2 linked regions of the Arabidopsis thaliana genome follow. The protein of the gene in region 1 interacts with the protein of each later gene in a pairwise test. Each region holds a gene or a part of one and is shown on either strand. Other genes may lie near its edges.

What was found.
Region 2: the proteins of AT5G18030 (region 1) and AT1G26660 interact in a two-hybrid assay, tested with the Arabidopsis thaliana proteins (one large-scale study listed by BioGRID).

What each region holds. Positions count from the first base shown.
Region 1 is NC_003076.8:5,966,546-5,969,697, forward strand, and holds AT5G18030 (SAUR-like auxin-responsive protein family), read left to right. Parts: upstream 1-1,806; 5' UTR 1,807-1,981; coding exon 1,982-2,248; 3' UTR 2,249-2,645; downstream 2,646-3,152. Other genes in the region: SAUR20 (SAUR-like auxin-responsive protein family), read right to left, coding at 1-35. UniProt on the Arabidopsis thaliana protein: Functions as a positive effector of cell expansion through modulation of auxin transport.
Region 2 is NC_003070.9:9,210,146-9,214,378, forward strand, and holds AT1G26660 (Prefoldin chaperone subunit family protein), read left to right. Parts: upstream 1-1,618; 5' UTR 1,619-1,740; intron 1,741-2,150; 5' UTR 2,151-2,152; coding exon 2,153-2,244; intron 2,245-2,359; coding exon 2,360-2,464; intron 2,465-2,695; coding exon 2,696-2,797; intron 2,798-3,074; coding exon 3,075-3,182; intron 3,183-3,336; coding exon 3,337-3,391; intron 3,392-3,548; coding exon 3,549-3,620; 3' UTR 3,621-3,730; downstream 3,731-4,233. Other genes in the region: AT1G26650 (Son of sevenless protein), read left to right, coding at 190-1,197.

The DNA of each region.
Region 1 (3,152 bases):
TTCTTTGCTCCCAATAGACTTCTCACAAAAGCCATATCTATTGTTTTTGTTTCGAATATTAAATTCTTTAAAATCTTCTGAAGATGTATGAAAAGATTCAAGTTATTGGATTGCTTGTTGTTTGTTGATGATTGAAAGAATGGGTTTATGAGTGTATATATAGAAAGATCAACTACTAATGAGTTGAAACCTCTCTGAAAAAATCATTGAAACTTGTGGTCTTGAAGTGTTGGACAGACTAGAACAGAGAACATGGTTCTGTCTCTACCATTTGGAAAAGATGCATTAATGCAGTTTGTCTTGATGAGATAATTAATTGATTGTGGGACATTAAACTAAAAACAAAATCCATATGCAATTCACAAGGGACTGTTTTCTCAATGTTTTTAGATAAAAGACCAGCAAGTTTCTCTTCTCCATGTTCTGTGATGATCCTATTTTTGATTCTCTGTGGTCTAAATGGATTTAATAACAACTTAAAAGTGGGGACCTGAAGTTTCTCAACAACAGAACAACATGTCTCCATCACTCTTTAAGCTGTTCCTTTTTTATGATATACACAAATAGAACCACACACGAAAATCAAGTAAAAGAATAAAGAAAACATCATCAAAATATATACCCCTTTAGTTTTCTTGCAACAGTATTACAGTAATGAGATCCTCCATGCCTTGCTTGTCTTTGAAGCAACTTAAGTACCTAAGTGTAAACATCGGTGAGAAAATCACTATGATGTTAGCCTTAAGGTCAAGATCAAGAATCTTCATTATTTTAAGCAAATCCTCTTGGTGATAAGGAATGTATTTACACATTATATCTATGACAGCAAGATGAAGTATTTACATTGAATAATCTATCTCTCACTAACTACTGTTAGTTATTCCTTCTTGCGGAACATCTTCATTGAAGCTGAGAAGTCAGATCGATGAAGGTATCTTCAGGACAATGGATTTTTAAGCTAGCCACCCATTGGATGATCGAATCCAAGCTCTTCCTTGGAATTACGGTGAAGAGCTTGAAATGAAGGCTGGTTTAAATATAAGACTGGCACCAAATATCTTTTCTTTTAGACCTGGTCTTCGCCAACGTACACCGCAAGAAACCCCCTTGATGCTGAAACTGGCCTTTTGCTTGTAGCCTCTATAGAAAATCTGATAATTTTCTTTGCACCCAAAAGACCTCTGAACAAAAACATTTCTTGTGTTTGGAAAATCTAAATTTGAAGCTTTAGAGAAAAACCTAGATGCTCAGATTCAAGCTTCGGATTGAATAGTTAGTTCTATCTTTAGATGTATAAATAGATTGATGGACTTCAAACCAACATGGAACATACACAAACAGAGTTACGTTTCACATGATTCTGTTTTCTCCATATTTTTATAATAAATGCAGAGAAGAAAGGAGATATTCAATCCTTTACTTGTAACTGTCATGTGTGGTCCTCCTATTTGAGGATATCAAAAAAGAACAACTTAACCCTAGACAAAGACTTGTTGTTCTATTGTTGAGCTACTTCAGGTCCCAATTTTAAGTTCTTATTAAATTGCACCACAGACATGAGGTAATATGATCATCACAGAACATGAAGGAAAGAAACTTGCTGGGCCTTCTTATTGACAATAGCATGTCTTATCTTAAAAACATTGAGGAAACAGTCCCTTGTGCATATGGAGTTAGTTTTTCGTTTATTGGCCCAAACTCAATTAATTATGTCATCAAGACAAATTTCATTAATGCTTCTTTTCTAGATTGTAAAGACAGAACCATGTGAGCTCTGTTCTAGTCTGTCCCACGCTTCAAGACCACAAGTTTCAATGATTTTTTCAAAGAGGTTTTAACTCCTTCATTGATCTTTCTATATATACACACATAAACACATTCGTTCTATCATCAACCAACAACAAGCAATATATCCAATAACTTGAATCTTTTCATCCATCTTAATAAGCTTCAAAAACCTTTTCGTACAAAAATAACAGATATGGCTTTGGTGAGAAGTCTATTGGGTGCAAAGAAGATTCTAAGCCGCTCCACCGCATCGGCGGCACCAAAAGGGTTTCTTGCGGTGTACGTAGGAGAGAGCCAGAAGAAGAGATATTTGGTGCCGCTCTCATACTTGAGCCAACCTTCATTTCAAGCTCTTCTCAGTAAATCCGAGGAAGAGTTTGGATTTGATCATCCAATGGGTGGCTTAACGATCCCTTGTCCTGAAGATACCTTCATCAATGTGACTTCTCGGCTCCAATGATCATGATGATCCGACATTTGGTTCTTCTGAGTTAGAGATAGACTTGATCCTTGTAAATAGATGATTTTTTTCTTTCCTTTTTCTCTTTCTTCTTGAAAGAGTTGTTCTCAAAGTTTTGAAAGTGGATGCCATTTTTTATTCAATAGACACGAGATCATGGTCCATGTTAATACATTTTGGATCGATTACCGGAAAAATAAAGGACAACGCCGACTGAATAACTATTTTAATTATACTTTCTAAAATCAAGTGAGAGCATTATTAATCTTCTTACCCACTGTCTTAATTTAGAAAAATTCTTTCTAATTCACTTTTCACACTATCTCTTTTCAATTTTACCCTTTTCTATTTACTATTTTCATTTATACCCTCTTTAAATTTTAATGACCATTTTACCCCTATTTGTAAATTGATTTAGGTTAATAAAATGAAGTATTAATATTTTTCGCCTAAAACATTCTAAAATAAAATTTCCCGCCAAAAAATTTCGGGAAAAAACTTCCCGCCAAAAATTTCGTGAAAAAAATTTCCCGCCAAATTTTTTTTTCAAAAACATTTTTCCCGCCAAAAATTTCGGAAAAAAAATCCCGCTAAAAATTTTCTCTGAAAAAAATTTCCCGCCAAATTTTTTTTCGAAAATATTTTCCCGTAAAATTTTTGTTTTTGGCAGGAAATAGATTTACAAGGGATTTTAAAAGGGTTTTAAAAGATTTACAAGAAATTTTAAAAGGGTTTAAAAGATTTACAAGAGATTTTAAAAGGGTTTAAAAGATTTACAAGAGATTTTAAAAAGGTTTTAAAAGATTTACAAGAGATTTTAAAGGGCTTTAAAAGACTTACAAGAGTTTTTAAAAGATTTTTAAAGGGTTCGAAAGTGTTTTAAAAGATTTACAAGGGATTTTTA
Region 2 (4,233 bases), on another chromosome or scaffold:
CTCTAATCAAAATTATTGTTGGAACGTAGACAAGATCCGTTCCAAGATTCGTCTTTTTTTTTCAATTTGATTCCTGGGTTATCTGAAAGATCTTCTCTTTGCTTCGATTTCTATCTCCGCTGCTTGTGAAATCAACCTTTATGGTATGTAATCTCGAACTCAGCTAAAACACACTTCACTCTCGGAAACATGGAGACGGAAACGAATCAGGTTTTACGGAAACCGGAGCTAAAATCATACAGTCACAAACAATTTCACTCCTCAAATGCGTTAGAGATCTTAAGAGAAACAGTTCGAATTCTCCGGTACAATCTTGGTGCTTTAATGTTAACTACTGCTGTTTTGATCTGTCCTGTCTCTGCTTTGCTCTTACCAAACTTTTTAGTTGATCAATCATTAGTGAATAAACTCACAGTGAAGCTTCTTTTAGTGGCGAAATCAAGTGGTCTTCCTTTGCAGCCTTTTGTCAAACATTCTTGTCAGAAATTCGCTGAAACTGCTGTTTCGTCTGCAATGTGTTTCCCTGTGTTTATCACTGTGTCTCTGTTGTCTAAAGCAGCTGTGGTTTACTCAGTGGATTGTTCTTACTCGAGGGAAGTAGTTGATATAAGCAAGTTCTTGGTTATATTGCAGAAGATATGGAGGAGAGTTGTGTTCACTTACGTTTGGATTTGCATTCTGATTGTTGGTTGCTTCACTTTCTTTTGCGTTCTTCTTGTAGCAATCTGCAGTTCCTTCTCTGTTCTCGGCTTCTCTCCAGATTTCAATGTTTATGGAGCTATGCTAGTTGGTTTAGCCTTCTCTGTAGTTTTCGCTAACGCGATTATAATCTGCAACACTGCGATTGTGATCTCGGTTTTGGAAGATGTTTCAGGGTTAGGAGCATTGATGAGAGCTAGTGATTTGATCAAAGGGCAGATTCAGGTTGGTTTGTTGATGTTCCTTGGATCAACTTTAGGATTGGCGTTTGTGGAAGGATTGTTTGATCACAGAGTGAAGAAAGTTAGTTATGGAGATGGCTCTTCGAGGTTATGGGAAGGACCTCTTTTGGTGTTGATGTATTCCTTTGTGACACTTATAGATTCGATGATGAGTGCAGTGTTCTATTTTAGCTGCCGAGTTTATTATAGTATGGAAGCTTCTAGAGGTGAAACTCAGCCAATCATGGAAACGGTTACGGTTGTGGATGCTGAGTAATGGTGCGTTGTGCGGATCAAACTCGGTGAATGGACATGGAAACGTATTAGCTGAAGAAGAAGTTGTATATCATCAAATGGGGTTTTATTGAGCACTTTTTGTTTCACTTTGAAACTTGATGCATCTTTAAGGTTTTTGTTATATATGGTTTCTCTGTTTACATTGTTTGAAGATTATATAGCATCCCAAGTTCGTTCATAGTTCTGCTCTTGTTTCTTTTTAGCCAGTTTGATTGAGTCTTGAAAATCTTGGGCGTAAAATAGTAAAATTAAAAAGTAGGTGGGCCTTTATGCAAGGTAATTATATTACAAAGGACTTGAAATTAAAACCAAAAGTAAGAACAAACCGGTTCGCATGGTTTAAATAATCTGTGCTCGAGCGGTCAAATTGTAAAACCACCAAATAATTCTTCGTCTCCCTCACCGTCGCGGCGTCGCCACTCGCCGTCACAACCACCGTCGTTCAACATCACTGTCACCAAAAGAATCACCGTCGTTCGGTCGTGACGTGTCTGGACCTATTTCATCTCTTTGCTCGTGACTCGTGAGTCAAATACTCTTGGACCTTTGCTGTTATCTGTACCTCTAATTTTGTGATTTTCAGATTCCTTCTCGTTTATCGAGTTGGATTCTCTGTATTTGAATGTATTTTTGATAGGGTTTCGTTTGGAAACCAATTTGATTCTCATATTTAAAGTGTAGTTACGTGGTTTGTGTTCTCTCTTGGGGATGTTCACCACCTGTTCGATGAAATGCTTCTACGTATTAGTTTGATGCAATTTCTGTATAGTTTCGACGCTCTCCGAGCTTGTATTTAGATATTGATGGTTAGGTGACTCTAGATTCTGAAACGAACATTTCAAGGCTCTAGAAACTTATTCTGGACTAAGTTTATCAAATAAACAAGGGGATGGTTAGAGCCTTAAGCTTGATATGTTTATGTTCGCATTGCAGTAATGGAGGAGGGACGTCAAAAAGACTTGCAATTGTTGGAGGAGATTATCGACAAAGGTTTGAAACAGAAGCTTGTACATGCAACTGCTTCACGGTATTTATATTTACTTCCTTTTCAGATCAAAATTAAAATTGTGAGTATGATATTAAAGTGTATGTAGGATTAGTTTAGTTTGTTTTCTTTGCATGCTATTCACTTTTTGTTTGAGGTTTCGATTCATTGTGGTCTCTGCATTTGTTGGTTTTGCAGGGACAAGATCTTTGAAGAACAAAAAACACTGTATCCTTTTGTATAGGGAAGACTCTAGCTTCTCGTGATGTGCATCATCTTGTTAAGCTGATCCTAAGTGTTTTGTTAGTTTCTCCCATGTCTTAACCCTATCAAAGATGACGGGTTCATTTACCAGTCAGTTTTTGACTTAGTTTTGTGTTTCTAAATCGAGAGGAACTCTTCTTGGTGTAGTTATTGACAATACTTTGCTGTTCTAGTGAAATCTAATTCGGTTGAAATATTCTTGTTTCCTTGACGGTTACTCCCACTCCAGCTCTGACTTGCGGAAAAACCTAGAAACTCTGGAGAAGAATGGTGTAAATAGTCTCAAAACAAGGGTCAACCTTGGTTCAGAAGTTTACATGCAAGCTGAAGTGTACGTTACTTATAGCTTTGGTTCTTTCGTTTAATTTTAGTCAAGTCATTTAGCTATGAAAGGTCATGCATTGTCTGCATACAATGAAATACACTGTCTCCATACACAGCTTAATGCAATTAAGAAGTGTGCTTTTACTGTGTTCTGTATGTTAGAAGCTAGTTATGTATTATTGAGCAGAAAACGTTTAATAAATGGGGATTAAAATAGGAGATGCTTTCTACCAGGTTTGCTTCTGATTTCGTTTCACTTGACTTGGGTGTTTGTTTGAGTTCAGGCCAGATACTCGGCACATATTCATGGATGTAGGCCTCGGCTTTTATGTGGAGTTCACACGGCAAGAAGCTCTTGACTATATAGCACAAAGGGAGGAAAGAACTCAAAAGTAAGAGAAATCTTTGCTTTTCTAGTTTTCTTGCTCCATGTACAAGGAAAATATGGTTGTATCATTGTATATGATGAATGAGTTCTCCGGTGGAATGCAGTATAGTGACTGAATGTTGATGCAATATAAATGTGGTTTTTTTTGTTTTTAACAGACAACTAGAAGAGTATACTGGTGTTATTACGCAGATCAAAGGGCGCATCAAACTGGTAAGTTCAAGTTCTTATCTTGCTTTGTGATAGTAGTCAATCATTTGTCTTATGAGGTTGAATTGGACTAGAAAATCACTATTGCGTAGGAACCCTGCATCAGACGGATATATGAAAGTGTCATCGGATAAGTATTAATGTTAAATTACCATTGCAGGCTCATTACCAGATTCAGCAAATACTCAATCTTCCTGAAGAGAATCCGTCATCCCGGCAACGTGCGTTTTAGTACACTACCTAGTGGAAAGTTGAGGATTTTCTCTTGCAGTCTTATCTTCTCGATTTGTTCTGCTTACTGTTTTGAGTTTTTAAAGCAGAGAATTAACTTAGTTTGTTCAATACTAACTCTTTCTCCGGAATGGACCAAACTGTTGGTGTTAGATAAACATATCGATTAAGCAATCAAAACTTTATAGAATGACTATTGTTGTGGGGGTGAATAGTGAATCGCACTCTGTTAAATCTGCCATTTCTATTTTAAATATTAATAATCACATGTTAGAACTTAGAAGATCATTAACAGTTTAACACAGCTGATGAAGAATGAAATAAAAGTATGAACGAAACAGATACAAGATAATGATATTCCACGTCAGCAAAGTGTCCAAATATCTTCCGCTTCCCTGTCTTCGTCGGTCCCTTTTCGGTTTTCACGGTAAGGCTCGGAGGAAAACCTAATTCGTCCGGAGAATCTCCACCTCACTCTCGCCAAACGCATCTCTGTTGTAGGTAAGTCACGGATCTTCATTCTACGCTAATTGTTATTGTTATCGTTATTCTTGATCTGGGCGTTTTTGTGGAATTTGCATCTAAAATTAGAAATTTGGATACCAAAATCCACT